4 linked regions of the Oreochromis niloticus genome follow. The protein of the gene in region 3 purifies or fractionates together with the protein of the main gene of each other region. This does not show direct contact. Links are inferred from orthologs where the notes say so. Each region holds a gene or a part of one and is shown on either strand. Other genes may lie near its edges.

Region 1 (7,470 bases), on a different chromosome or scaffold from region 3:
GCCTCGCTGTATCACTGCTCTGCCTGTGGAGTAAAGAAGAAGGCAACAATGGATGCACAGTATTACTCAGACTAATCTAAAGAGCAGAATACTTACGCTGGATGTTTTTCTGTTGGTGTGTTGGGCAGAGAAGCAGTCCATGTCTGCTGAGTGGAGGCTTCCTGTTAAAAATGCATATATATAATGTTCAGCAAATAACAACCACAAAACCCTGTTTGAAGTTGTTTATTCATCCATGATATACGTCTATTCATGCATTTTTTATTTATGCAGCATCACAAGAATCCTACCTAATGACTTACCCTGCTTGCATTATGTTGTGCTCTTTCTCCCAGTTTCTCCAGACTTCTAAGAAGGGTGGAATTTTCCTGCTCCAAAACCTTTATACGAATGCTATTTGCTTGCAGTTGCTGCTGCATATCCAGAAGCACATTTCCTGTACCTTTTTACATGGAATAAAATTAGAAATAGTCATTAACTCTACATGATTATCATACTCAAAAAAACCCCAAGAAACTAAGAAAAAAATGACAAGATTGAAGACAAGAGTAATACTTTAATGTGCACGGATTTTTCTGATTTACTGTCTCTTCCATCTGTAAGTGCACAGGGTCATTCTTGTGATCTTATAATTCCAAGTTTGTCAAACTAGCACTCTGTGCTTTCCAAAGTATTAATAGCTGCAGTCGACTAGTGCTTGACAGGTGCAAAGCCACATCTATTTGCATACACGCAGGTAATGTTAGTAGGTAGTTCATAACGGCCTACTCTGTGGTTGAGCCAGTGGGCTGAGCTCTGGGAAAGCCACCAACAGCCTCTCCCTCTCTCTCAAAGCTTGCACATATTCCTTCAACTCATCCACGAAGTTTTTTAGCTCATCTGTGTGTGTTTGTAGGGTCTGTTTCTCATTTTGGAGCTTCGAACACAGGTCCTGATGGGGAAAAAATATAGCAGAATATACTACTACATTAAAACATGTCTTCTTTGGGTATTATTATGGGTAAAGTGCATTTTAGAGCTCTGATCTACCTGCTGTTGAGTGAGCTGAGCTCGCAGTTCTTCCTTCTCCTCTGACATCTGTTGCAGCTGACTCTGTAGGCCGATCTGCCTCTCCTCTCTCTCCCCCAGCTGCCTCTGTAGCTCTTCACACTCTTCGTCGAGAGCGTCGACTCTCTCTAACAAAGACTTCTGCTTTGCCTGCACTGACTGGATTACACAACCAAACAACACCTGTATGAATCTATTTGAGTACTGCTGTGTGACTCACACATAAGCGAGTCTGTCACAGTGCCCAGTGGAAAACAACAAATAATCAGGTGCTTGCTGTGATGCTGACCTCTTGCTGACGGCAGGCACTCTGGTACTTGGCTTTCTCCTTATCAAGAAGGAGCTGAGTGTCGGAGATCTGACTCTCTAACTGCTGGATCCTGTGCTGCAGTTTAGAACAGGCCTCTTCCTCTATTTGTAAGGTGTTCAGACTCTCCTGCAGTCCTTTCTTTTCATGTTCTAACACAAAAACAAATTTCTTAGCCAGCATAAATATTTATTTTGCTCTGCAAAACATTATTTCTTTTTTTAAAATGAAAGAAAGGTTGTAGATTAATCTTAGGTGCATGTCTTACCAAGTGCTTGTAAGGTATTTTGCTGCAATGCTATTTCCTCCTTTAGTTTGAAATTCATCTCTTCCAAGGACATAGTGTCTGTGTTCAAAAATGTGAAAGTACTAAAAGTGATCTCAGTGAATTCTCATCATGTTTATTCACAATTTCACTCACCCCTCTTATGTTGCTGTTGCTCCTCATGTAGCCTTTTCTCTGTTTCTTTATTGACTCTCTGTGCTTTCTGCAGCGAAAACTCAAGCTGGACTGAATTTATTTGAAGCTTTTCCTTCTCTTGGTTGAACTCTTTTTGTGCTCTTTCCAGCTGGGACCTGAGTCTTTTCTGTTCCTCTTCTGCCGCTGCTAGTCTGTCTTTAAGAGGCTGCACTGTACAGCGCACATCTTGAAGGTGTTTTTCCAGCCTGCGCGTGTCCCTGCGCTGTTCATTGGCCCACTGGGAAACATCACCTGCTGTCATGCGTCCCACCTCCAGAGAGTCATCCACAGCTGCTAAGAGAGGCTGCAGAGATGAGGGCAAGCCCTCGCTCTGAAGCAGGTCTGCCAGAGCGTCTCCTGTCTTTCTCAAAAGAGTTTGCACTTGATGACACGCATCACATGGAATGAGCAATGATTCGACAGTCTGGCAGCTTTTGTTTTGACTGCTAACCACGGGAGAGCATGGACTGCTGTGGGTGGGACTGGAGGATGCGAGATTCTGTGGGGAAATTTCAAATGTGCTCGTTGAAGACCAAGCAGACAAGCAACGCCTGCAAAAGTCGGTCCTTGAGCTCATTTGAGGTGAGACAGGTGATGCAGTGTTTGTCTCATCACTGTTTCTTTTCATCTGCCTTTTACTGAGTTCAGTCTCCTAAAAAAGGAAAGACAGCATAAAGCACTGAGATCTATCAGTTAACTGGCAACATTATGCCATTATTTTTAATTATGTCTTCACTAAAATGAAGCAGTCTGCCTACCTTTATGGTGGCAAATTGAACTAAATTACTCCAGTAGTTTGTGACTACCAGACCAACTGACAGGCATCCTTTCTGTGGCGTTTGTTCTCTCCTGTGGCTGCCCCTCAGTCGGTCAATGTAAGCACTGGAGCTTTGCACAAGAAGCAGCAGTCTTGTTCAGCCAGAGAGGGAGGGAAAGAAAATTTTGTAACGCTTATTATGTGTTTATGTAATGTAATGTCAATTTTTGCTGATTATTTCTTTTGTCAGTTTCAAGTTATTTCAGTGATTAGTGTCAGTTTTTCCTCCTTCAACAGAAGGGTACCAATGATTTTGTTCATGTCTATTCATCCCACAGCAGCATTATAAAGTTCACAGATGATACCGCAATCATTAGGCTGATCACTGATGGCATATAGAAAACAAAATGGCAGGACTGGTGGCTTGGTGTCAGCAAAATAATCTCTTCCTAAGTGCAGATAAGACCGACAACTCTTGATTTTTTTATGTGAAGAGGAGGATAAAGCAGCATACACACAATAGACATCCGTGAGACAGGTAGAGAGGGTGAAAACCTTTAAATTCCAAGGGACACACATTAGGGAAGATCTCACAACATCCAGAAGTTTCTCAAGAAATCACAGTAAAGACTGTACTTCCTAAGATGGCTGAGGAAGTCTGGCATGTCGACTAAAATCCTCAGCATTTTTTTTTTTACAACTCAACATACAGTTGAGAGCATCATCATCACCTCAGTTACAGAGTGGTATTGGAAGCTGCACTGACAGGAAGGATCTCCAACGTGGGATAAAAACTGCACAGTACATCACAGGAGCAGCCTTCACATCACTACACGGCATTTGCACGACCAGGTTCGTCACAAGGGCTCACAACATTTTTAGAGACAATACACACCCACCACCTCTCCACACTTTTGCCCTCAGGTAGATTCTACAGGCGACTGAAATCAAGCACTAATACTCTCTCAAATAGCTTCTAGCTGTTGGCCATCGGACTCCTGAATGAGACAATCAGCACTGCCCCTCTCCCACACCATCACTACTGTTGGCTGTTACTGTACTATCAGTATCTGCTACTGCACTAATTTGTACAGGTCTGTTTGCAAACATCCACAAGGCATGGGCACAACAGGGAAACTGGCAAAATAAGAATTTCATTGTACAGTGTAAACCGCGATTTTCTTTCACTGTGCATATAATAAAAATAACAATATTAAAACATCTAACATTTTTATGTTTCTTAATTTTCTGTGTTAGGCACATTGAGTTTTCATGTAAATGTGCTATACAATAAAATTGTCATTGTTATGTATTACCTGTCAACCACCAACTCCAGTAAAACAATGTGGGAGTGCTGATTGAACGCATCTTCCCCATCCACAAAGTCATACTGCTCTAGCAGAGCTACCATGTCTAGATTACAGGAGTGCTTGTCCGGGAACTTCCAGGAAGAAAAGCGGAGCGGTCCGGTTCGAGAAAACACGTCCAGAATCGCTCCCTGAAGGTCAACCAGGTCTTTTCGGAGGCTTTCGATACAGTCCTGACTACCCAGCAACTGACTCATGTCTGACAAACTATTTTATAAATGACACAGCTCTGAAAAACACTGTGCAGTCTGTTGATACCGCATCTCCTTGGCAACATCCAAAAAAAGTACTCCAAGTTCCACAATGCTGTGCGGGTTATTTCCGGAAGTAATTCATCTCCATTGGGTCAACGAAAGCGCGACGTAGTAAGTGTGTTTAACCACGGTAAATTTTAAGCTTTTAGCTCCTGTAGCCTTTATTGTTGACATAGCATTTGCTAAAAAGGATTGTTTAAAATACATATTTTTTTTCTTGTTGGTTTTGTGTTTGCAGGTAACTTCCAGTTTTACAATAAGTCGCAGCCATGCCGCCTGGGCCTGTTCAAATCGTTCAGCCGGAGGCTAACAACAAGGTAAGGGTACCGCTGCTAGTTAGCTAATGCCAGCAGTGCAGCCTACATACTGCTTGCTTTTTTTCGGCTAACTTGTGAACTGGGTTAATTTTTGTCTTTCTACACTTTGAACTGTCTCTGTGATTTTTGAATTTAGCGAACAGGTAGCGTCTATCTTTTTTTTCTTTCGCTAAACGTTTGAGGTCGCAGCATTAAACCTTGCTAGCCCGTAGTTACCTTTGATGGTAAATCTACACACAGCGTCTAAAATCTCAGTTTGAACCTGAAGGTAATAGCTGAGACTTTGCTGTCACTTCAGTACAACGGCAAGTTACTTGCTAAATTGAAAACAGATCTTTGAATCAATGTGTTTTGTACAGAACCACACTTTTTCACGCAGAAAATTCACCGACCTACTTTCATCAGAGCACTTGGTAGTTTTTACCGTATATTTCATTAGTCTCCTGTGTGGACTAGTACAGCGAAATATAAAGTTTTTCAAAATGTTGTCTATGCTTTGAGTGTTATAAATTGTAGTAGAGCAGGGGAAATATTACTTGGTGTAGTTGGAAAAGATTTAAAATCGGGTGGATGTTAAGTGGTCCACTCTCTTTTTTGAACCTTATTCTTTTATTTATCCATCTAACCCTTCTTTGGTTTATTCTAACTAACAAATGTGCTTTTGTGAAACAGAATGATTCAACAGCAGAAGAAACCCCAGCCACAAAACCTATTGTTGGTATCATTTATCCACCTCCCGAGGTCCGAAACATTGTTGACAAGACAGCCAGCTTTGTTGCAAGGTTGGTTATTTTATATGTGGCAGCATTTTAAATATGTAAAGGTAACCGGATTTCATGTATATGGCATAACTAATTCTTGCCAATTCACAGGAACGGGCCTGAATTTGAAGCAAGAATTCGTCAGAACGAGATCAACAATCCAAAGTTTAACTTTCTCAACCCGAATGACCCCTACCATGCCTACTATCGCCACAAAGTCAATGAATTTAAGGAGGGGAAAGCTCAAGAGCCATCTGCAGCAGTGCCCAAAGTTATGCAGCAGGCTATGCAACAGTCCCAGCAGCTTCCTCAGAAAGTAAGTCATTGAACTTCACTTTGCACTTTATTTTATTTTTTTAATTACAAAATAAAACTGGTAGTCTTTGACCCTGACTAATATTTTACATTTTTCTTTAGGTTCAGTCACAGGTAATTCAGGAGACAGTGGTCCCCAAAGAACCTCCCCCCGAGTTTGAGTTCATTGCAGATCCTCCATCAATCTCAGCATTTGACCTGGATGTTGTGAAGCTCACTGCCCAGTTTGTTGCTCGCAATGGCCGCCAGTTTCTCACTCAGCTCATGCAGAAGGAACAGAGGAACTACCAGTTTGACTTTTTGCGACCACAGCACAGCCTTTTCAATTACTTCACCAAGCTGGTGGAGCAGTATACTAAGGTGACTTAACAGATTGGGCTTCTCTGGGTGTGTATTTATTCAAGTGGTGATTCTAAACTTTCTAAGCATTATCTTGATTCTTACCTTTAATCCTTTAGATTCTGATCCCTCCCAAAGGCTTACTGACCAAACTCAAGAAGGAAGCCGAGAACCCAAAAGAGGTTATGGACCAGGTATTCCGTTTTAACAGTGACTGCTTCTCAAAATAGCCGTTTACATTTGCTCTTTCCCATGTTTGTAATATGTCCTGTTGTCCAACCATCAGGTAAGGTACCGTGTTGAATGGGCAAAGTACCAGGAGCGCGAGAGGAAGAAGGAGGAGGAGGAAAGGGAGAAGGAACGAGTAGCATATGCCCAAATCGACTGGCATGACTTTGTAGTGGTCGAAACGGTGGACTTCCAACCTAATGAACAAGGTAATTATAACCACAGTAACTATATCTTTGAATAGTAACCCCCACCTTTAAATATTGGTACAATCATTTAATCTTTATTGGCATCTCAACTTCCTTAGGCCACTTCCCACCACCTACCACACCAGAGGAGCTCGGCGCTCGCATCCTGATCCAGGAGCGCTATGAGAAGTTTGGAGAGAGTGAGGAGGTTGAGATGGAAGTGGAGAGCGAGGGTGAAGATGATGAGCGGGAGGATAGGGGTGAAGGCCAGCCTTCACAGCCTGATCAAGACACACAAGTGCAGGACATGGATGAGGTTAGAATGGATGGAGTAATTAATTACTGCGGATTGTAAGCTGTTCGTGTCTGACCAGTTATAGATTTGATACTATATGTTTTTCTTTTAATTAAATGACATCTTTTCTAACCCACTGCTTGGAGAAAGAAAAAGAAGAAGAAAACTTTAAGATCTTGTAACAAAATCGATTCATCCCCTGCTGCTTTCTTTAGGGATCTGATGATGATGATGATGGCATGAAGGCTCCACTGCCACCAGACACCCCCATGCCACCTCCACTGCCTCCAACTCCAGATCAGGTTATCATTCGCAAAGACTACGACCCCAAAGGTAACACTGTTCGTTATGTGAGCAAGTTTTTACTTTGTACAACGTGTTTGTTTTTGTTTTTTAACTAATGTTACCTTTTCATAACAGCATCCAAGCCTCAGCCCTCAGTTGCAGTTCCAGACGAGTACCTCATCTCTCCCATTACCGGTGAGAAGATCCCGGCCAGTAAGATGCAAGAGCACATGCGTATCGGTCTGCTGGATCCACGCTGGCTGGAGCAAAGAGACCGCAGCATCAGAGACAGACAGACTGAGGATGAAGTTTATGCTCCTGGTTTGGATATCGAGAGCAGCTTGAAACAGCTGGCTGAGAGGCGTACTGATATCTTCGGTGTGGAAGAGACGGCCATCGGTAAAAAGATTGGAGAAGAAGAAATCCAAAAGCCAGAGGAGAAGGTAAAAACACTGAGTAACTGCAGTTTTTATAAAACTGTGTTTAACAATAACAACGATAGTAGTAATAATAATAATACTAATTGTATTCTTTTGCATTTCAGGTTACC
Region 2 (7,799 bases), on a different chromosome or scaffold from region 3:
CTTATCTCATGTTATCTTCACACAGTTCATTATCACAGCTGCCGGCCCTCTGTGATTTTGTTTGATTCCTTCGTTTGTGTGCTGAACACATTTTTCAATAATTAACTAAATCAACAGACTGAGCCTTTAAAACAAACATGTTAAATCCACAGCAATAAATACTGTATTACCTCTGAAATCAATAGTTAATGGTTATTGTTATTATATAATGAGGAACATATATTAACTTATGGAGGATCAATACGTCGTTTTTTAACTTTCCATCTTACCAACCTATATTTGTTGTCTTGATTTCATAACGTTGTAGTTTATGTATATATATTTTTGTCCTGGCTGAGCTCTGCCTCTCCTAAACGTTACCACAGTTATTAGCAGGCTGAGCTCAGGTATGTTGGTTAGAGTTTACAGAAGAGACCTAAAGGATGTTAATGTCTTTCAGCATCTTGCTGATAGCAGTAAAAGAAGAAGTCGAGCCACTTACAGTAGTATCTGTAGGTCGCCTGGACGGCGCAGACAGCAAACAGAAGCCCGCAGAGTGAAATCCATCCGTTCCTCATGTTGTGTGAATCCTGAAATCAGATCCGAAAGCTGCAGCTGATGGAAAAACTCCTGCACAGCTCCTCAGAGTGATTCCTTTTAACTCCTCTCCTGCTGCAGGTCCGTACACGCTGCACGTACAGGCCACACTTATTCACGTGTGATTCACAAAACACACACCGTCAGTCAGAGGATATGACGGCTGCAGCGTGTGTGTGTGTGTGTGTGTGTGTGTGTGTGTGTGTGTGTGTGTGTGTGTGTGTGTTGTAACACTGTGAGCCGTTGTCCTGGAGCTTCATATTTACATTTTTACAACACAAAGACGTCTCACAGGACGGAGAATGAAAAATCAGATTTCTGTGAATGAAGTGATTCTGCGCTCTGTTCCAGATGTGGAAAACATGACAGATGTTTCCTGAACATGAAGTCTGCATGCAGCTGCTGAGAGTTCAGATTAAACCAGGCACCATAAAAATAAAAATTTTATACTTCAAATGTCATCACAAGGGCAGGCGGGCGTGGCCGAATGAACCTGCAGGACGCTGGGACTGAATCAACTGCTAAAAGTAACAAATGAAGAAACAAAAACATTAAGTTACAATATTTTTAATTTTATTATTTTTATTAACAAACAAAGAACTCTGACTCAGCATGCGGACGCTGCAACAGTGCAGAAGCTGACCATTTACAGCAACAGTCATGTCAGAGGGTTTTACAATCTAATGTGCGGACCTCATAGAAAACACAAAGCCCTGCGACCGACCTGTCCAGGTGTGCCCCGCCTCAGCCTACTGCAGCTGGGATGGACCCTGACTGGCATAAGAAGAAGAAAATAGACAGCTGGTGTCCCCCACGGCTCAGTTTTAGGCCCAGTTTATCTTTAGTCTCTTATCAGTTTTTATTGATTTTACCAGTCAGCAATATTCCTATTATCATTACATTTAACACTGCATTATTACATAGATCCTATTGTTACTATTATTAGTAGTAGTAGTAACCTTTTTAAAAACTTTTATTATTAAGGTTTCATATTTTGGTTGATTCGTTTCTGGACTTTCTTTCATTAAAGGATCATTTATGAATTTTGACCTTTAGTTTCTGAACTTAAAATAAATCGTTCCATTGTGGTTGGATTAATGCTCGTTTTACCAGCTTACAGAAATCACTTCCTGTATGCACTACTAATGCACTCTGGTAAGTATGTTCATAATACCCATAGGATTGATTTTAAAATAACTGTACTTACATATAGAACACTGAGTGTCCTGAGCTCTGATTGGTAGTTACTCAGTCACTCACCTGTAAGTTGAGAAAACTTTTAACAGCAGTTATTTTGACTGTAGCTGCTTGAACTCATCAAATGTCACTGACTTTATGCGGTCTCTGGTCTCCACATCACTGTGAGTGTGGACACAGTGTAACTGTGCATTATTACACTCACACAGTGTCTCTTATCTATCTCGTTGTGCAGTTACTCTGTGAAAAGCATTTTATAAATACATTTTTCTTACTTTGCCTCCTTGAGAAAACCTGTTTAAGCACGAGGAAAACATTCAAACCACTGAGCTGTTGTGCTGCCAGTTATTAAAAATCACAACCTAAATGCGAGCCTGGCCTCACAAAAACGTGACATGTTGGTTTTTAAATCAAGACTGTAAAATTGTGAGATTCCAAACCTTTTATGGACTTTTTCTCTGACCTCCAACCAAAGCAGTAATAAAGCATTTGCTTAATTTGGGTTTATCTTAACCCTAACACAACCCTTTTCTAAATCACCTGGGTGCTGGGTGAAGGTGGGTTGCTGAGTGGCTTGCAGATTAACAGCAACAATGGGCAGAAAAAAGCAGCTCAAACTGTTCATATACTGTTCATACAGTTCATATAGAGCTCAAGCTGTATATGAACTGTACCAATGTGAGGTTCCTATATCTCAACAGAGCGTGAGATAAAATTATAAAATGGTCAAAAGTCATGTCTCTCTACTTAATGTAATAAATATATGTTATAAATAAAGTTTGTAACATCTCTTTATTACTAAAATATGTTTTTACCTCAGCTAGTTAAATCATTGTGATCAGTTAGTTAAAGGACTAGTTGGGATTATATAAGGAATTTGAATATTTTTAATAAAACTTAACAAAGCTTACGTTAAAGTTTAGCATAACTTAAATGTGATAATTCATCTTAAACCATGTGGAAAGCTTACATAAAGCACATAAAAATATGTATAAAATTAAATCAATATGATATATATAAGATATCACATTAAAGAAAATCTTAGTACTAATATTAAATAAGTATGTTTAAAACAGTAAATATTAAAATATGAGGTCATCTATCAAAGTTGTGGAATATAATCAAGATTTTTATATGAGGAAAAATGATTTTTGTTCTTTCCTTTTAATTAAACTGTTTACTGTAGTTATTATCACTGTGGTGCGTTCAGGGAGATATAAAAGGTTGAGGATGTGCTCGGGGTTAGGGTTTTATTCAAGGTGCAAAAACATCCAAAGACAGCCACAGACGTTTATTTTCAGTCCCCACAGATGAAAGCACATTTCACCTCCTGCTGAGTTTGGAGCTAAACACAGTGTTTTGTGTTGTGGAGCCCTGATTCTCGCCTGCAGGCACATTTTCTCCTCCTCCTCCTGCTCAGGTAGTTTCCATGTGTAAGATGTGTCCTGAGGCTGCAGGTGAGCCAGCAGACACACCCTGAGCCTCAGACACACACTTACTCACACACACACACACACCCTGCCTGCTTACACACAGAGTCACACCCAGTCTGTCCGTGTTGCTGTGCCAACACACCTTAACGCGCGCACACACACACACACACACACACACACACACACACACACATTTAGTTTATTGAGTCATAATAAAGCTTCATTGTAGATTTTATCGCCAAGTTTGTGAAGAAATTGCAAAACTTTCTGGACCGAGTTTGATTTCAGCGCTTGTTAAAAAATCAAGACAAGAATCTGAACTTAGTTAAAGAATCTCCTGGTTTAAAGAAAATACTCTGACCTTTTACCGATTTTTAACAAACTGAATCTCACTGAAAATAAAATATTATTATTATAAACTGTTAAGTCTCTTGTGTTGGAACAAATTAATCATCAGATGTGATCACGCAGTTTGTTGCTTTGCTGTTTGTAAATGCAGAAAGTTTGACTGTGCTGAACCAAATGACTCAGTTTTGTCTTTACGATGTGAAAATACTCTTTTAGATTCCTCTTTTTCTGCCTCAGATGCCCTAAATGAAATCAAGTTCCCACTGAAAATCCATTCGTTTCCTTAAAAACACTTTAAGAGATGCAGGCAGGGCTGTTAGATGATTTTCTACTATTGTTTTCACATGATCTATAAATCTTATTGAGCTCGGTCCTTCAGGTGCTTCAGGTTAAATATCTGGTGCCTTCAGGAGGGGAGCTCAGGTTAACACAGACTGATGAATGTTTCATTTGTCTGTCTGTCATATACAAGAAACATCACCTTCTTTAAAACACTCCAGATCAGCTGGTTTCACAGGAGTTAATGCCTGAATACAAAAAAAATATCAATTCAATATTATATTTTATCCATTCTGTTCTATTTTTTGTTCTGTTCTGTTCTTTTATTCTGTTCTGTTCTTTTATACTTTTCTAATACTTATACTAAATATAAACTAAAGGTTTATAAAACTGGCCTGGCTTTATTACTTTCACTGTAACTGGCATTTATAACTATGAGGCTCAAATCTGTTTCGCTGGTGTAAAGATGACTGACCTCTGTACCAAAGTGTTCATGAAAAGAGAAACATGGAGCACAGCTTTCATGTATTCTCTCCACTGTGTTAGAACAATAAAGGCTAAAAATATTTAGTAAAAGAAGAAGAAGAAGAAACAGAACTTGGTGGAGGACGATTCTCCCTCCGGCCTGAGGGGGCGCTGATGCACCGGGAGTTTATTTATTTTTTAACCGAAAGTGAAGTGCAGCCGGAGGAAGCCAAGGCTGCTAGGCTACCGGTGCTTAGCTGCTGAAGTCTGGAGCAGCTTTTGCATTTTTCTGACCTGACTGTAAGTACAAATACTTCGGGTTATTTATACCTGCATTTCTTCTTAATTTAATCATATTTTTAATGCGACGCGATGTGAGTGGCAGTTCCGGTGATCAGTAGCTAGCAGGGAGCTAACATTAGCCTGCAGTCACGCATTGATTCGGTTAATTTCAGACATTTATGTGAAACTAATTTTTATCTAAATTGTACTGAAAGTTTCAAGATAAGTGACTTAAATTCGTGATTATAAGCCATAAATGTAATTTTACGCTTTGAGGCTAATGTTAAATGCTAGCCAAACATTAGAGAGTTGAATCTGATGATGATAAAAGTCCACAGTAAAAACAACCCGCTGTGCTAATGACGCTGTTATCGTTTGTATCCCGAATCACCGCAGACAGCGGGATTTATCCTAGCAGTGGACAGTAAATGCATCCATGAAGACTGGGTTTGAGTTACTTCATTCAATTTCCGTATTAGATTTATGTTGAGTAAAGTGACTCTGATCCATACAGCCATGTTTACATAAGTGAGTCACTATCAAAGACCCGTTTGGGTTCAGGCAAGACCAAAGTTCATCTTAAAAGGTGGTAAGCAGACAGCAGCAAGGCTTCTACCAGAGTTTGGCCAGTTAATTATTTCAGTAATTTCTTAGATGTGATATTATCATTTCTCAGTTCAGCAAACCGACTTTTTTTGGCAATATTTACTGACTTTCATCCCTCTGTGACTCCAAACCAAATGATGTTCACAGTAAATGCCAGATCTAAGCTAAATATCGAGGAGTTTGACAGCAGTTTATTGTTTCTCAGATTAACGGGTTCACGGAATAGGAGGACCCTCCTGTCAGTCCACCATGGCGGACATCAAGAACTTCCTGTACGCCTGGTGTGGGAAAAAGAAGCTGACTCCAAACTACGACATCCGAGCAGCGGGCAACAAAAACAGGCAGAAGTTTATGTGTGAGGTGAGCGTTCGGTCTGACGTCAGGGGGTTTAACTCTGGGAGGTTTTTGTTAACCTTACACCGTACTCCCTGCAGGTCCGAGTCGATGGCTTCAACTACATTGGGATGGGAAACTCCACCAATAAGAAGGACGCGCAGACCAACGCCGCCCGCGACTTTGTCAACTATCTGGTCCGAATAGGAGAGATGAACGCAGCAGAGGTCCCGGCCATCGGGGTCAGGAAGCTGTTCCTGTTTTTCCTTCTTTTTTTCTGTAGAGATAAAAAACGATCATTTCTCTCACTTTGTCTCTTTTAAATGAACAAGTACGTTTTCTGCCATCAGGTGAGCACGCCCATCGCAGATCAACCTGATGCAGCTGGAGATGCTGGCTTTGGAAACCTCCCTTCTAGCGGTCCTCTACCACCTCACCTGGTAGTGAAAGCTGAGCAAGGTAACGGTAGCATGGTGGCTTTAACGACTCCAAACATCACAAGTTCTTACTTTAATGTGGTGAGTCGAGTCGGATTAAACGGGTTCAGATATTCAGCTGGTTTCTTTCTGCTTCTCCTTCTTTATTGTTCTCAGGGGACGGCAGCGTCAGTGGGCCGGTTCCAGGAGTGACCGGACTGGGTTATGCAGGAGGAGGAAACTCCGGTTGGGGCAGAGGAGGAAGTGACGGAGGAGCTCAGTGGGACCGAGGAGCCAACCTGAAGGAGTATTACGCCAAGAGAGACGAACAGGAAGCACAGGCGGTACAAGATAATTCCAAATTACAGTGCAGTGAAAAGCATTGGTAATGTTAACATTAAGCTCCTTAACAGGAAGTAAGCTGCTCCTAAGTTACAGTCGTCCCCCTAAAGCTCAAATCTGAACCAGAACCTTGGACAGATTTACTAAACTTGGAACAACCAGCCAAGTTTACACTACAGGAACTGCTGTTTCACTCCGAGGACTCTGCTTTCATGAAGGAAACTGGCACTCGGGGAATACTTTTTTTTTTTTTTTTAAACTTCGGCCATTAATAATATGCAGATGCATCATTAGAACCAGAATAAGTTCCCTTTTTTTTAATCTTCAGGTTTGATTTCTCTCCCTCGCTAAACAAACTCCCGCCTGTTGTTTTGTTTGCAGACTCTGGAGTCGGAGGAAGTGGATCTGAACGCTAACCTTCACGGAAACTGGACTCTGGAGAACGCCAAGGCCCGTCTGAACCAGTTCTTCCAGAAGGAGAAAACCAGTGCTGAGTATAAATACAGCCAAGTGGGACCGGACCACAACAGGTCTGGAATCTCAGAGGTTTTTAAACCGGCTGGAAATTCTAAACCAGATCCAGTCTGAGGGGTCACAGCTGGAACCAAAACAAACACTGTGATTTTAATGAGCTTCAGCTGCTTGATAATTCTCTTTAGCTGGAGAAAAATCAGAAGTATTTTCTAAAAGCAACTGTGATTTTGACCAAAGGATTTGATTTCTCAATTTTCAGTGAATTGACTGAATCTCTGCTGGAAGTATTTTGTTTCCCTTCAGTTTGGATTTGGTTTGGAGTTCACTGCCGGCCTTTGGCCACAGACCTGTTTTATTTTGCATGTTCAGACATTAAGTTTATGATTGTACTGATACTGCAGAGCCAGCGCTGCTTATTTTAGTCATTCAGCTCAGAGATAAAGGCAAAGATTGACCCAGCCCTGTCCCCAAAGAGCCGCTCAGCAACCAAACTGGGGAAACACGAACTAATCATAATTTTGCCCTGAGCCACACCAAAGCTTTACAACAGCTTTAGTTGTTTTCTTAGTAAAGATGGGGATGATTGGACTTACCATGGCGTTTCTTCAGCGTTGTGGGAGGAGTCAGAGTCAGAGATGGTGGCATCTCTGTAACTTTGTCAGTGCTCGCAAAATCGCTAGCCTGACGTCCCGGGGCAGCGATTTTTCCAGTCGGGCTACCAAAATCTATCTCAGCCCTGCCCGTCGGGCTATCATAGGAAGGAAAAATATGTGTCAATGCTTTTGCATTCTTTCACAAATGTAGCTGAGTAATTATGTCATTGGCATCGGGGAGCCACTGTCAATATGTGACATATTGAAATCGCGTTTGAATTTGTGCTTGTTTTTTGCTTTCACTTTGCGATCGCGCGAACTGTGTGTAGAGAGCGGCAGCACTGATTGGTGAGTGACGATTAATTGCGCACCAATTCCTCTGACATTGTCTTATCACTCATTAGCTACTATTCAAACCTGACAAGTGAAATCTCCCACAGCAAGCTTAAACGTGA
Region 3 (8,085 bases):
GCTAATTAAAAAGAGGCTTTGTATGATGAAATTAGCTAAAAGGGTCACCGTCTTCAAGTCCACGCTGGCTTCAAAGGACGTGTACCTGACAATCAGCAGAGAGCTGAGTTCGCCACAGAGGAAGTTTGCACCTATAACTGGAGCGCCCCCTGCTGTACTCACATGAAACTGCAGTACAGGCTGTTGAGCATCAAGCATGGTCGCCTTTTTTAAAGTTTTATTTTCTGAATGTTTGAGGCTGGATTTAAACTAGTTCAGCCTCTAGGCTGACCTATAATATAATGAAAAACAGAGCACCTGCTTTATTAGGATTAGTATCATAGAGATAAGTACTGAATTACTGAGACTGAGCTCGGCTTATGTTGTACTTTATACTGGGGACCAGTATGAACATTTGATTTTTATTACAGGAGCTGTGTTCTGACCACCATCAAACAACAAAAACTAACTGCACTCCAAAATTATTTAAAACTAAAGACAAATGCGGCCTTTAAATTATTTTTTTTTTGACTGCTTCTATGAAGGTTCGCTAAAGTAGTCGACCTGCCTCCATCTCCTGCTATCCCAGCATCCTCCTCTCTCACACATGCTGTCTGCATGTCCTCATGGAACAAAATATAAATGAAAATGAAGTCCAGTCCAAACTTCCGCAGGTAACGTCAGTGAGGTTTGTGGTTGCTCCTAAACACTACCCCTGTGGAGACGGGGCTGAAATCAGTGAATTAAAGGCGAGGTGAACGTGAGCGTACCCTGCAGAGGATGGAGGAGGAGGCTGCTGCTGCTGGCTGTACCCGGAGAATGACGACTGCTGGCTGTAGTTCATGCTGGACGGCTGGTTGCTGCTGTTATAGCCTCCGGAGCTGTAGGACTGACTTGAGTGACCATACCCACCACCGCCACCGCCCTGGTTGGAGGATGGAGACCCGTATCCACCTGGGAAAAGGAAACTGATTCAGAGGTGACTGGAAAACAGTGACTGTGGATTTGGGCGGACGCTGGGGCTTCCTCTACCTGACTGAGGATGGCCGTAGCCGCTATAGCCTCCCTGATTGTAGGAGCTGGAGCTGCTGTCCGCGCTCTGGTTGTAGCCTCCGTAGCCCTGCTGGCCGTAACCCGGGCCAGACGACTGACCGTAGCCCTGGCTAGCACCGCCACCTCCACCATAGGATGGATAGCTGCACACACCAACCAAGAATACACCATTTCAAATCTACTTTTTATCATTCACTTACAAAACAAAATTATTTCCACGGTTAAATGCAAGGACTTACTTTTCTTGTTTTAACCCAAATTCAGAATCTAAATGTATTTTTCTGGACGAGTATTAATAATGACAGAAACCTTCATGAATGAATAAAGACATGATTTACATAACTCACCCCTGGCTAGGTGTTTGGGAATAATCTGAGGAGAAAAAGCAGAGAGGGTTAATATTGAAGATAATTTTAATGATAGCAATCAAACATCCAAACAGTGTCAGACATAATCTATAAAACTCAAACTCAACAGTAACTATATAAGACAGATTTTAATGGTAATTATTAAATTAATAAACTATATTCTATCTGTAAAAGCCCTTTTTAAGAAGGCCAGCTTTTTATCATCCAGAAATGAAAAACAGCAATACTTAGGCTCAGTTTTCATGACATGCACTAAAACTTATTCTCTTTCAGTCTGGGAGTAGATTTAATCCATGTCCGGGAGATCTGTCCAAACCGAACATAATTAACAAAAACAGACGGATTTAAAGTGTTTCAGATTTCCAACACTGTGAAACTATTTATGAATACATTAAACACCACATCAGACACCAAATCCACTGAATTCAAATTTGTCAGATCTGTCTGAAATCTTACTTTTAAGATTATGCTTAAAACTTTTGTTTTTTGACGTAGTTAGGACTGGATCGGGGGACCCTGAACCGACAGGCTTCCCATGACGCATTTCTTCTTCATTCACACCACTCTGCATTTTATCATTTGTTATTATTCATCTCTGCTCTCTTACCCCCAGCTCGGTGTTATGGACGAGCCTTGAGGGTCCTGAGCCGCCCAGTCAAGTCACTGTGCAGCTGTATCCTAATGACACACGTCAGCCGTAAGTTACACTAAATCACATGATAATGGTAAATGGCCTGTATTTGTATAGCGCTTTACACATCCAGTCATCCACCCATTCACGCACATCACACACTGGTGATGGCAAGCTACGTTGTAGCCACAGCCACCCTGGGGCGCACTGACAGAGGCGAGGCTGCCGAACACTGGCGCCACCGGGCCCTCTGGCCACCACCAGTAACGGCAACGGGTGAAGTGTCTTGCCCAAGGACACAACAACCGAGACTGTCAGAACCGGGGCTCGAACCAGCAACCTTCCGATTACAAGGCGAACTCCCAACTTTTGAGCCACGATCGCCCCGTGAAAAACATAAACACCCTTATCACTGATAAGCTACTGCAGTGCAGCTCAGTTTAATGATTCGGTTTACAGCAGTTTAGAGCTTCCTGTGCAGGTCAGAAGTATCTCTGTGTCTCATCTGTGTGTGCAGTGAGCTTTAAAACATGACCCTGCATGAAAATGGCAACACAAATGGAAAAGTGACGAGGATATTGTACCCTAGTGTGTGTGTTGTGAGTTCAGTGATCCAATCAAACACAGATACAGTCGCACTTTTATAACTCTAAACTTTGAGTGTCCTGTGCCTATATGTTTGGAAATATGTACACCTGTTTATTTATTCTGTTTTGTGTTTTTCTGGAATAGCAAAGTCCTCCCTGTTAAAGTCGGTTACCCTCCAGTTCAAACACCCAGCCTGCTGCTCCCTGCCCTCAGCCCCATCAGGCAGATGGCTGCCCCTCCCTGATCCTGGTTGTAACGCAGGGTTCTTCTTGTTAACAGGACCTTTCCTCACAGGGAGCCATGTGACTGTTCTGTGTTGTCGCAGGCTCTTTACCTCACAGTATTAATAATCCAGCCCACAGATGCCAAAAAATGAATAAGGAAATGTCTTTCATTATTTTGTGTTGAGTTGGATGTCCGGTGTAGGTAGGTGAGCTGGTTTTTGCTCGGTCTCCGCTCTGATGTGCTTTTAATAAACCGAGGCCAGAGGTTAAAGCAGCGGATCGGCAAAGGGGAGCGGTTTCCCTGCTCGAGACCGCAGTGAGCCACCAGAAACTGGGTCAGCAGCAAAACCGGGCTAACGGCGAGCTAACCGGACCGGACCGGAGCAGGCACCGGTATTACTCAGTTAACCTAAGCTAGGCGGTGAGGCGTCCTGCAGCCGGACAAACGGTGGCGTAAGGCCTGCATGAATTAAATGTGAGGATGGACGCCACGCCCCCAGAGAGCCATTTAAACTTCAGCTAGCCGCTAGCTGTCCTCTGTTCACCGGCAGGTGAAGGTGATGCTATCTTTAGCTAACCGCTTCCGACGCCCAGACACCGGACAGATTTACCAGTTTCTCTTACCGTTAGACGCCATTTACACGGAGACAGCGCCGCTTCAGCCTTTCTCTCGGTCAAACAGCGGGTCGTTGGATGATTAAACCGAAGAAGAGGACGAATCGACACGAAGCTCGACCCACTAGCGCTGCCGTCTTCAGCTGCTGTTCCTCCGCCGGCCGCCAGGGGGAGCGCAGCAGTATCGATGCTGTTTAGTTTTATATCGGGTGGGAAATGGTGCATCAGCTTTTTTTTTCTTTTTTTTTTAAATGAACTTTATTTAGAACAATAACAATGACAAGCTCAAAGAGACAAGCGACATATTGAATCATTCAGAACAGAATCGCACCTCCGTTTTCTTTTCTCCCAATCAGAGGAATACACATCATTGCCACAGTGCAGTTGGTACACCACAATGAAATCAATGAAATCGACAATGACTGAAAGTAAACATACATACATACATATGCAAACACACACATTTATACACACACGTCTACATAATAATAATAATAATAATAATATAATAAAAATGAATAACCAATACAAAAATTAAATAAATAAATAAATAACAATAAAAAAGAATAAAAAAAAATGAAAAACAAGGAACAGAAATAAAGGAGACAAGGGGGATCATAAAATCTCTAAAAGTGAGGTTCCATAAACAAGACACATAACTTAAATAAGGGGCTAAGAAAAATCAAACTCTTCTAAAAATCTATGCAATTTGATTGCTTGGGGCTTATTTATTAGCTTCAGAGATTTACGGAACAGGGAGAGTTCGTTTTTAAGAGCAGCCCATGAAGGGGGGGATTTAGCATATCAGCATTTATGAATGTAATACTTTGTTATAATAATGAGATTGTTAACTAAAAACTCACTATTTTTGTCCTTAAGGATTACTCCAATTTGAATATTTTGAAAAGACCAAAAATCAATATTTCCATACTGGGACAATATCAGGACATGGAGGGATTTCCATAAGTTCTGGATTGTCACACACCCATAAAACATGTGCTCTGTTGTTTCCGAAGTTGTTTTACAAATATAACAGTTGTCTAACACAAATTTAAATCTGTCTCTCATAAATTCATTGGAGGGGTAAATAGTTTTTTGTAGTTCTAAAATGGACTTCTTTAAATTTGGGGGGAATTGGAAATTTTAAATATTTGGTTCTGATCAACGAGATCTCAGATTTGTTATAATCTTTAAAATGGTAAATGGCCTGTATTTATATAGCGCCTTCTAGTCCCTAAGGACCCCAAAGCGCTTTACATATCCAGTCATTCACCCATTCACACACACATTCACACACTGGTGATAGCAAGCTACGTTAAAGATGAGTGTATGTTTTGTCCTACCTGGATATAAGATGTTAACCAAATACCTCCTCAGAAACTGATTATTGCATTTTTCATTAACCAAGTCAAGACCATCTAATTTAATTTTATGTAAATTTGGAGTCGGTATATTTGAAAAATTGTTCTTTATCGTATTGACTAGGACTATTGGGATATTCTGTGAAACCTTTTTGTACAGCTCGAACGAGCAACTCATGTCATATTTCTCATTAAACCTGTTTAATTCAAGTGTATCTCCATTTTCATCCATTATATATGTCACAGACCAAATTTGTTTTGTCATTCTTCCACAAACATAGATTTCCCCCGATTCAATATCACCCTATTATTCCACAATGGAACGTTGTGGGGACTAAAGTTATGTTTAAACATTAATTTCCAATTTAACAAAACTTGTTGATGAAATTTGGAGAGTTTTATGGGCAGTTTAGAAATTTCAAAATCACATACTAAAAGGAATTGGATCCCCTCAGCTTTGTTGAAAATATGAGATGGTATCAAAAACCAGATCTCATTATCATTTTTTAAAAAAGATCGGAGCCAATTAATCTTTAAGATGCCATTCATTATTTCAAAATCGATTGCTTTTAAACCCCCCTCTTCATAGTCTTTTATCAAGTCCCTGTTACTGATATAATGATGTTTATTTTTCCATATGAAATTAAAATTCAGCTTATTGATGTCTTTTATAATCCTTGGTGGGATGGCTAGGGAATAAACTGGATAGATTAATCTGGACAAAGATTCAACCTTGGTCAACATTATCCTGCCGACCAAAGTTAAATCTCTCTGTAGCCAATGGTTTAGGGGTTTTTTTGCATTTGTCAGTTGTATTCTGAATATTCTTTTCTTCGCTATCAGCCATGCATTTAGTTAGCCAAATTCCAAGATATTTGATTTCATTTTTGACACGTATATTGTACAAAGAAGAGTGAGAACAATTGTGGATACTCATGAGTTCACATTTGTCCAGGTTCAGGCGTAGTCCAGAAGCATCAGAAAAGATCTTTATTGTATCTAAGGCCAATGGAATTTGTTCTTTATTTTTTAGAAAGATTGTTGTATCATCGGCAAGCTGACTTATTATTAATTTGTGGTTATTTATGTCTAATCCTTCAATGTTTGAATTTATGACAGTAATAGCAAAAATGATGCATCATCTCAACGTGTTTCTGAAATGTGATTTCTTATAACACAAAATAGTAGTATATTAATCAAGCCATGCAATAACAACATGTGCCGGAACATGCAAAACAGTGCAAAAGTAACATGCCGAAACTGTTCAGACAGTGAATGGACTGATTTTTATATAGCGCTTTTCTACTCTCCCAGATTACTCAAAGTGCCAACTTGATACCAGATCCTGGCCAGACCTGCTTGCTATGTGGGCACTAACACACACACAGACACAGTTACTTTACCAACTGACCCCTGACCCCTGAGCTCCTAAGTGTCCCTCAAACCTCATACTCCTCTACTTCACTGTCACTCCCTGAAAGCTCTCTGTCCTCACTTTCTGAGGACAGAAAGTGCACATTCCCTTGGTTTCCTTGCATAAAAGGTATTTACATCCATGTCCTGTAATTATGGGTAGATTGTAAAGTAAAAAGCATTGACTATGATCATATAAATGCACACAAACACATCTCTACACACATATGCAAATGCACTATATTGCCTGAAAAAAATTGGGCTAACTGCGCAGTGTTGCCTTGAGGCAACGAATGAAAATTAACAGTTTTACTATATAAATAAATTTTAAAAAGTAGAAAAAACAATCAAATATGCTTCTTAACATATTCATGCACATACAAGTATTTTTTTAATATACATTTATTTCACTATAAACATGTAAAATAGTGATCTTTATCTTGTCTCCGAATGGAGATGTCTCTCATGTACTGCAGCTTGCAGAAAGGGGTCCTGCCCCCCCCCCCCAAATATAAGTCACACCACCTTCAACTCATCATTTTATTGGAAAGAGATGTGCCTGGTAGCATTATTTGAAAAAAAAAAGTTGGTTTTTTTTGAAGGGCCAGTGTAAGGCATGAAAATGTGGTTTGTTGCCTCAGGGCAACGCTATGCAGTAGAGGGTTAATAGTAATAGTAGTAAAACAGTATCATTTTAATAACAACAATAATAAAAATAATTTTTAATCACTTTTTTCATTTTCTTCAGAAGGAAAGTCAGTGAATTTATGATGACGGCAAAAACAGTAATGACAAACCTAGTTTGAGAATTGTTTGGGGTGTTTCTCTGTCCTTTAGATCTCACTGCGAAAGAAGAATCCATAAAAGCGGCCATCACTGCATTGAACATGCATGGGTAAAGGACCAAGTGCCTTTATTTGGATAGTGGCAGACCTGTGAGAGCAAATAAACTACATTCAGTTTCATCAGTGAAATTTTTTATTATGAAAATACAGTAAATATATTTTATTTAGTTTCCATCTAACAGTCCAGGAGTAAAAGGCAGGCCTGCACTTGAGGATCACTTTCCTGAGAGAAACTGTAAAAGTAAACCCGTCTGTTTTCATCACCGTGGCAACATGTTTCCACAGAAACAAGCTTCATCATCACTGGTAAGTAACTACAGAGCAGGTGTGATTCCTGCTGTAATGATCGAGCACATCTCCTTCAGTTTTCTGTATCAGAGAGCGTCCTGTGTGGTGACTGTGCTGAGGTGACCACACTTGTGATGTTGCTGCATGTTTACTGTCAACAGGAAGAAACAGGCAGTTTGTTTCCTGTTTGTTTGTCGGGGTTGCCGTGGTCGTGTCTCGGTCAGCGGTCTGGGAACTTGGACTTGAGTCATTCTGTTGTTCCGAGTTTTTATTCTTGTTTCTTACTTCTTTATCGTCCTGTTTCTTAGTTCTTGTGACGCCATCTTTGCTTCCTGTTTTTACTGTGTGATCTTTCCAGAGATGCGTTTCAGGTTTAGGGTTACGTTTCGGTTTATTCTTTATCGTTTCCTTGTGTATTCCTCCCTTCTTTCCCGTCTGTTTTCACTGTTCCCTCTCCCCAAGACTTTTATTGTTTTAGTCTTTTACTGTTTTACTTTTGGATATTTGACCTTTTGTTTCCTGGTTCTGGATGAAGCATCTTTCTGTTTTGTTGGGCCTGTTGAGTTTGACTTTTTAAGAAAACAGGAAGTTAAATGTGCACTTAAAAGAAAAAGAGACACACATACACACACACACACACACAAACTGATGCCCTTTGTTTGACTGATTAGATATTTGTCACTGAGCAGTTGAACAGCTGTGTGTGTAACAGAGTGGCAG
Region 4 (7,651 bases), on a different chromosome or scaffold from region 3:
AAGATGAGAAATGTTTGTTTATGTAAACATCAGTTTTATTTTTATAACAGAAAGCGCACACATTGGGCATATTTTTAAGATGTACATTACCTTGTCTTCAAGCCTTTGAATATCACTCTGAAGACATTCAACCTCATTGCTCTGAAGACCAAAAAAAAAAAAAAGACTTAAATGTAAATAGTTGCCATATAAAATAAGCCAAACGCAGCAGAAAGTTTCACTGTGGGACTGCTGAGAGTTTGACATACCAGTTTGGAGCAGCTATTCTGGGTCCGACTGGCTTTCTCCCGGGCCTCTTTAAATGCTTGACGTGTCTCCTCCAGTTCTTCTGTCAGAGATCTAACTCTCACTGCTGACCTCTGAGCACTGCACACGACAAACAAACCAAGACAAACAAATTACAAGGTAATTACATGACCGACTACATGAAAAAAGATACTGACAAGAACAGACCAAATAATTAATAAACTAATAAATGTATGTCTATGAGACGATTCCTTAAGTAAAAGTTTGAAAGGCCTATTTGTGCCATTTGGAGTAAGTAACTGATGTTTATTCTGTATTTTTTAAGAAATGGGCTTGTTATATATGTGTGGTGGGTGGAATGATTGTGCAGCATACATTTCTTATGGCTTTAAATTTTTAAGAAAAAAGAATTGGATTTTGAATTTTTTTAAATTTTATTTTGAATTTTCTCAAATCCACACGACGTCTCATTAGTGATCACGATTGACTACAACTGGTAGTTTCTCTTTATCAGCATAAAAAGGGTTTGTTTTACAGCACTCATTGGGCTGACCAATACTCAGAACAATGGTTAAAATCCAAATAACTTGGTGAAAATTTCTTGGAGCTATTTCTTAACAATTCAACCACTTTGCCGAGGTCTGGAAGAAGACCCAAACTGTCACCCTCAGATGAGAGGAAATTGGTTGGGATGTTCAGGAACAACCCAGGGACCATCAAGACTCAAGCCTGCAGTGAACTGGAAATAGCGGGAACACAAGCATCACTGTCCACAGTAAACCTAATTTTAATCAGCATGGACTGAGAGGGTGTCGACCAAGAAACAAGGCCCTGCTTCAGAATCAACACCTTCAAGCACAACTAAAATTTGCAGCTGCTCACATGGACAAGCCAAATGTCTTTGGAAAAGTTTTATGGTCAAATGAGACAAATATTGCACTATTTGGTCACAATAAAAAAGGTATGTTTGGAGGAAAGGTGAGGCTTTCAAACTTCACAGCACTGCAGCAACTATCTTGCATGGTGGTGGTAGCGTCATGCTCTGGGGCTGTTTTGCTGCCAGTGGTGCTGATAGTGGAAAGTGGATTAAATGATGAAGAAGGAGGACTACCTATAAACTCTTCAACTTCACCTCAAATCAACAGCTACAAGGTTGAAACTTGGACAGAGTTCGGTGTTCAAACAGGACAGTGATCCCAAACAGACATCAATACTGCTTTTGGAATGGATAAAACAGGCTAACATTAAGCTTCTGGTCTTCCGAAAGCGATGACCTCAAACCTATTGAAAATTTATGACTACACTCCAAAATGAAATCAGTCATTTTAAATTAACTCCAGCAGTTCTGCCAAGAAGAAGTCAAATCTCCATCCAGAATTTTATCAGAAGCTTGTTGACGGCTACCAAAAGAGTCTGGCAAGTCACCTTCACTTCATCCCTTCCACCAATTTAAATTAACTCTGCCCATTCTGCCAAGAAGAATAGTCAAATATCCTGCCAGAAGCTTGTTGATGCTTATTAAAAGAGTCATTTGAGGTGAAACTTGCTAAGGGACGCTTAACCAAATATTAATGGCGGTGTATGTACATGTATTTAGAGCCTGTATATATTATTTTGCCCCTGTATGGATTCGAGAAAGTCTAAAGAAATTAAAGATGCATGCTGTACAATCATTTCACCCTGAAGAAAAACAGTACAGAGAATAAAATATATGTGTTGTCCAAACCAGAGTGCACCTATATCAAATATGTGCAGTCTATAATGACTGCTATTGGTATTTCTGCTCGTTTTTAGTCATTAGACGTTTATTACATTGTTACCGATCACAGTTTGTCACTTTAGAAGTGCACATACATGATATGATATAGTTTACTTGAATAATAAAACAATCTGCTTTTGCTGGAAGTTATTACAGTAGTGTAATCTTACATGCTAGGACTGCAGTTAACTGTGGAAGAAATGAGTTTATCCTTCACCTGATGAGCTTTGCTCGCAGCTCAGTGATCTCCAGAGTGAGCTGCAGGTTCGTGTCTTCACATTGAGCAACAGTCCTCAGCAGACTACTGTTCTGCTCACTCAGTTTGCGGTTGGCATGCTTCAGTTCAGCCACTGTACCTGACAGGTCTTTTCCATCGCTGAAGCCAAAGAAATGGTTACTAATGTGTAAAATCAAACTGGTTAGGGAGGTAAACATAAACAATGGTTAAACTAGAAAAAAATATCCAACCAGAAACACCGCTGGCCTTCTGATGACGTCTCTTCGCTTTGACAAAATGACAAACCCAGCCCTGAAAGGAAATGAGGAGTAATGAATTGTTTCATATTTAATAAACTGAGTCTCAAAACAGAATAAAACCTGGAAACATACCATTTGCATTTACAGGCTCTTCAGATGTGTTTGGCCGAGGTACATGGCTGCTGTCCTCATCAGTACTGTAACACAGGAAAACTGAGTGATATCACAGCTGATTAATAAAATGTTTAATTGATAGAAAAGTAGGCAATACATTTAACTGGACATGCCCTGCTATGTTTGTAAAAAAGATAAAATGTGATGGACATTGTAGCAGACCATCTTCACTTCATCCCTTCATATTTAAATTATTCTTCCTCTTGCTTTAAATGACTACATGCAAAAGTAATTATTTAAAGTGGAGCTAACTTTAAAAAAAGTCAAAATAAAAATATATTGTTAGGAACTTTAATCTATAGTAACAAAATATTTAATTAGATATGAAGTTTATAGATGTTATGTAAAGGTTGCAGGTCCCTTGTGTACAGTTTCAGTCTCACCTGTCCTCGCTGCACTGGGTGATCCACGCCCTCATGGTGGAGTGAAACGTCTCTCTGCTCACATGTGGGTCCTGACAGTCAGGGTCGAGCAGCCGTTGCAGGGCAGCCAGTCTGTCCTGCCCTGGGCTCTGAGCAGTCATGGTGTGCAGGTACTCGAAAATGGTGGAGGCTAACACTTCTCCTGAAGGCAAGAGGGGAAAAGGAGGAAATGAAAAAGACGTCACACCATTACTGCACCGTTTTTTTGTCTAAATGAAATTCGGTCCATCTGTATACCTGACTTGCTGCTATTACACGTATCATACACGATGTCAAGGAGTTCATGTTCAGAGAATCCGCTTGTATCTTTGCTGTCCTCAAACACATCGTTCATCCCACAGCCAGATGTCTCCCACACTTTACATGTAAAGAGCCAAATGTTAGAAAACGAAATGAATATGCTGTATACTTGTTTGATACTAATACTGGATAAATTGAAACACTCACCATTATTGCCGTCAGACATTGTATTTGTTTCTCCTGAAGCCACAGAGAGCAACTATGCTGGACAGTCATGTCCCTGCATGACCTGAAATTTAAATAAACAAATGCATTTTAAACTCTGTGCATTGTGTCTGGAGGCTAAAACTAACAGACTAATATCATAAAATTGAACATAAATTGGAATTAAGTATTATCCTTGATGCAAATTGGAACATAGATTATTTTTAGAAACTAAATGTAACCAGTCTTCATAAAAATGAGTTAAAAAAAATGCAGGTTTTCAGACAGTACAGTTGTGTTAAAGAACTTTCACATGAACCAAATTTCCACCTCTGAAGATTCCTGCAGGGAAGACAATTCATATGGTTTACAGTCAGACTGGAAGACACATATGTTTTTGGTCTTATCTCACATAGCCTTTAAACATTTATTTTTAAACAGAAACAAGTCAGAAAAAAATCTTACTTTTCAGTCCGGACAGGTTTTCTGCAAAGAAAATTTTTCAGTAAGAAGCATCACCTTATTGTTTGTCTTCTACTCTTTAATACTGAAATACTGTGAAGTCTTCAAGGTGCTTCTTTGGTTTTCAGTACTCACATCAAAACCAGCTGACATCCCCTCAGCCTCCCTCCCTTCACCCTCATCCACACCCTCCTCCCACTGCTTGCCAAAATGCAGCTCTGGAGAGGTTTGTGACAATGATGCACACCGTAAATTTAAATTGGAAGTCACACGTTTAACACATCAAATGCACAGTCTCCCGTTTGAATTCAGCAAATGTAGGAAGTAAAATCCCACTACCTTCCAGTGTCAGTGTGTGTGTGTTGCAGATTATTCCCAATAAAACGCTATTGTTTTATTGTATTGTAAGTGATGGCTCTCCCATTGTTAACTAAATTCAGTTTGTAAGCAAGCTGATACGATGTCCCGTCTTTTTTGTGGCAGTTTCTCTTTGAGTTATAGCAATAACTGTATTGTTTTCTACAGTCATTGAGTTATAGTGTTTATGGTTTCTGCCCGGACATAATTTCAGTTGCGCCATCCGTGTGTTTCGGAAGCATGAAGTAGCTACCAGCAGACAACGGGTGGAAGAAATTGTATTTTTATTTTTATTTTTACAATTTTTTTTTAGATAAATCTAACTTCGAGTGGTTTTGGTTATTCTTTCAAGATGTCTCGAGGCTCTATCGAGATCCCTTTACGGGACACAGATGAGGTAAATCCTTCCGTGAACCTGTTTTCACTAAGAGGATCTAGCTGTGCTGTTAGCCGTTTAAGCTAACTGCGGCTAGCCTGAGCTGATATTATGTGTCTGCTTACACAGTGGCATTGTAACGAAAACGTGGTGTATTTGTTTGCAATCTGGAGTTTAAACATAGTGAAATTTTGATGCTTGTCAGCTGTTCAACTCCTTAAATATGCGTTCAGGCGCCTGTGCAAAGCTTACTTATCGCGATGTTTTGTCGTCGCCGCTCTCAGTGATGCAGTAAACATTAAATTCTACTGAGGTGTTTTCTACTTAATTTAAGAGCCTAATATGCGTTGTGGTATTTCAACACATCACCGAATTTGTGACAGATGTGTTTTAGTTGCAGGCAGTCGGTTGCATTAGTGTTTAGGCTGCGTTAGGAGTGGACAAAATATTAGAAACATATGCCAGGAATAGTCCCTTATGAAGACTTTTACATTGAATTGTTTTTAAAATTGGTGAAACAAGCATTGATCAGTATAACCAACAAATTTATTGAACCTTGTAAGCATTCGCAGCAGCTGAGTTTTCTATTAAACTGTATAGGTCAGGTGAAATCTACCTAACAAACTGTCGCTGAAGAATTAAATGCAAAATGTTTGTTTTGTTAAATACATTTTATTAAAATAGAAAATATGCAAGAGAGAAGATGGAAACCATTTTTTAAAGTAAAAATATAAGTACACACTTAATGTAAAATTAAAATCAAATATTCCAAAGTTAAAGCAACACTATGTACAGTACAGAGTTATAAAGTCTGATGGCCACAGGGAGGCATGGTTATCAGTCTCTGGGTTCTGTGCATAGAGGATGACACTGGCCACCACAGACTCGTAAAAGATCGGGAGCATCATCCCGTAAGTATTAAAGTTCCTCAGACATTGCTCATTAGACAGTAAAGACAAATTTGATTCTCCTTGTAGAGGACTTCTGTGTTTTTAATCAGTGTAAACACCGAGGTATTTGTATTCCCCCATCGTCTCCACACAGACCCCATGGATGGAAATGGGGGTCGCTGGAGTTCTCGGCCTATTCATGCCGTCTTTGCCACATTAACATGCAGATGGTTTTCTTGCAGCACGTAACAAAGTTTCCAGTTTCTAATTCATAACACTCTGAAGTGATACATGTGTCAGGATTTGCACTACTATTACAATAAAATAATATAATGCACATATAATCTGCATAGATATGTCTTTCCACTGGCAACACCATGCATGCTGAGGTACTTACTGTAATAACATACATATTTGTGTTTTCCAGGTCATCGAGCTCGACTTCGACCAACTTCCTGAAGGAGATGAGGTCATCAGTATCTTGAAGCAGGAGCACACGCAGCTGCACATTTGGATTGCTCTGGCGGTGAGTCGATACATCAGCCTTAGACTTTGTGGTTTTTGTTCTGCAAATAATAATTAGGCTCTCTTTTCAGTTTATCCCAAACATCAATGTGACAGCTCACAGTATTTTATTTTCTCAGCCCAAAATAGAAATGTAGATGCGACAGAGAAGCAAAATCGCACATTTGAGAACCAGAAAATTTCAATAAGTGACCTTAAAATAAACAGTACATTTCTTGTCGATCAGGTAGTTGTTAGATTGAGATTAAGTACTGCACTAACTGATGTGTGTCTAGATGTTAATTTGATGAAACAAACAATGTGAAATTCCAATCGAGTGTGACAGTTTTCTTTCTATTTCTTCTTAAGTTGGAGTACTACAAACAGGGCAAAACAGAGGACTTTGTAAAGCTTTTAGAGGCAGCACGTATTGATGGAAACCTCGACTACAGAGACCACGAAAAAGACCAGATGACCTGTCTGGACACACTGGCAGCTTACTATGTCCAGCAAGCACGTAAAGAGAAAAACAAAGATGCCAAGAAGGAGCTCATCACACAGGCTACGCTCCTGTATACTATGGCAGACAAGATCATCATGTATGATCAGGTAGGAAAAAAAGTCTATCATAGCAGGTGATAAATGAGCTTATTTTTCTTGCATTTTGAGTAAATCGAACCTGCTGTTGTCTCAATCAGAACCATTTGTTGGGAAGAGCCTGTTTCTGCCTGCTGGAAGGAGACAAGATGGACCAGGCTGATGCTCAGTTCCACTTTGTCCTCAACCAGTCCACCAATAACATCCCTGCTTTGCTTGGTAACGTGAACATGAAACAGTGTAGGATTGAAATGGACTACATTGATTGACTGAAGTAATAACAATGTTGTTGTTAAACAGGTAAGGCTTGCATCTCCTTCAATAAAAAGGATTACAGAGGAGCGCTGGCGTACTACAAAAAGGCTCTGCGTACAAACCCCGGCTGCCCAGGTAAACCAATAACATGTAATGTCTTTAAACACTCCCCGCATGCCTGTATTTCATTTATTATTGTTGTTATTATCATCATCAATATTATGATGAAAATATTATTGTTGCAGCAGCAACAAGAGACAGTATGTTCATGTTTTATGTGGCAAAGATATGTAGGTGATGAGCCACTTCATTGTTAACTTAAACATAAATACAATTTATGAACAGAAGATCCTTGATTTTAAAAACACAGGACCACAGATAATATATTTGCCCTTCACTCATATTGGTTATAAAATCAATGTTCCCAACTTGTTTTTTGTCTTGTTTTTGTGTAGCTGAGGTGAGGCTGGGGATGGGCCACTGTTTCGTCAAGCTCAACAAACTGGAGAAGGCTCGTTTGGCTTTCGGTCGAGCCCTGGAGCTTAACTCAAAGTGTGTGGGAGCGCTCGTTGGTTTGGCTGTTTTAGAGCTCAACAACAAAGAGGCAGACTCCATCAAGAACGGAGTGCAGCTTCTTTCGCGGGCCTACACCATCGACCCCAGCAACCCCATGGTACTCAACCACCTC

What was found.
Region 1: the proteins of fus (region 3) and sf3a1 purify together in Homo sapiens (affinity purification with mass spectrometry; 3 studies listed by BioGRID and IntAct, with this or other methods). This does not show direct contact. The link is inferred for Oreochromis niloticus from reciprocal best matches to the Homo sapiens genes FUS and SF3A1.
Region 2: the proteins of fus (region 3) and dhx9 purify together in Homo sapiens (affinity purification with mass spectrometry; 4 studies listed by BioGRID and IntAct, with this or other methods). This does not show direct contact. The link is inferred for Oreochromis niloticus from reciprocal best matches to the Homo sapiens genes FUS and DHX9.
Region 4: the proteins of fus (region 3) and ctr9 purify together in Homo sapiens (affinity purification with mass spectrometry; 3 studies listed by BioGRID and IntAct, with this or other methods). This does not show direct contact. The link is inferred for Oreochromis niloticus from reciprocal best matches to the Homo sapiens genes FUS and CTR9.

What each region holds. Positions count from the first base shown.
Region 1 is NC_031977.2:11,768,329-11,775,798, forward strand, and holds the start of sf3a1 (splicing factor 3A subunit 1), read left to right. Parts: upstream 1-4,180; 5' UTR 4,181-4,303; exon of another isoform or gene 4,304-4,322; intron 4,323-4,430; 5' UTR 4,431-4,461; coding exon 4,462-4,509; intron 4,510-5,181; coding exon 5,182-5,291; intron 5,292-5,381; coding exon 5,382-5,586; intron 5,587-5,687; coding exon 5,688-5,945; intron 5,946-6,043; coding exon 6,044-6,118; intron 6,119-6,210; coding exon 6,211-6,361; intron 6,362-6,459; coding exon 6,460-6,656; intron 6,657-6,850; coding exon 6,851-6,968; intron 6,969-7,055; coding exon 7,056-7,363; intron 7,364-7,464; coding exon 7,465-7,470. Other genes in the region: ccdc157 (coiled-coil domain-containing protein 157), read right to left, coding at 1-23, 97-161, 303-442, 769-931, 1,030-1,206, 1,337-1,506, 1,623-1,700, 1,776-2,466 and 2 more. UniProt on the Homo sapiens protein: Component of the 17S U2 SnRNP complex of the spliceosome, a large ribonucleoprotein complex that removes introns from transcribed pre-mRNAs.
Region 2 is NC_031982.2:34,273,000-34,280,798, reverse strand, and holds the start of dhx9 (ATP-dependent RNA helicase A), read left to right. Parts: upstream 1-4,446; 5' UTR 4,447-4,598; intron 4,599-5,391; 5' UTR 5,392-5,435; coding exon 5,436-5,546; intron 5,547-5,620; coding exon 5,621-5,761; intron 5,762-5,869; coding exon 5,870-5,978; intron 5,979-6,112; coding exon 6,113-6,279; intron 6,280-6,658; coding exon 6,659-6,807; intron 6,808-7,799. Other genes in the region: lamc2 (laminin subunit gamma-2), read right to left, coding at 482-557. UniProt on the Homo sapiens protein: Multifunctional ATP-dependent nucleic acid helicase that unwinds DNA and RNA in a 3' to 5' direction and that plays important roles in many processes, such as DNA replication, transcriptional activation, post-transcriptional RNA regulation, mRNA translation and RNA-mediated gene silencing.
Region 3 is NC_031969.2:32,751,328-32,759,412, reverse strand, and holds the start of fus (RNA-binding protein FUS), read right to left. Parts: upstream 3,481-8,085; coding exon 3,468-3,480; intron 1,405-3,467; coding exon 1,380-1,404; intron 1,176-1,379; coding exon 1,012-1,175; intron 934-1,011; coding exon 750-933; intron 1-749. Other genes in the region: uncharacterized protein LOC100698127, read left to right, coding at 7,420-7,484. UniProt on the Homo sapiens protein: DNA/RNA-binding protein that plays a role in various cellular processes such as transcription regulation, RNA splicing, RNA transport, DNA repair and damage response. Binds to ssRNA containing the consensus sequence 5'-AGGUAA-3'.
Region 4 is NC_031965.2:20,537,235-20,544,885, forward strand, and holds the start of ctr9 (RNA polymerase-associated protein CTR9 homolog), read left to right. Parts: upstream 1-4,545; 5' UTR 4,546-4,693; coding exon 4,694-4,738; intron 4,739-6,034; coding exon 6,035-6,133; intron 6,134-6,480; coding exon 6,481-6,720; intron 6,721-6,809; coding exon 6,810-6,927; intron 6,928-7,008; coding exon 7,009-7,098; intron 7,099-7,418; coding exon 7,419-7,651. Other genes in the region: uncharacterized protein mrvi1, read right to left, coding at 91-141, 249-366, 2,223-2,381, 2,474-2,534, 2,615-2,679, 3,040-3,220, 3,316-3,435, 3,526-3,544. UniProt on the Homo sapiens protein: Component of the PAF1 complex (PAF1C) which has multiple functions during transcription by RNA polymerase II and is implicated in regulation of development and maintenance of embryonic stem cell pluripotency.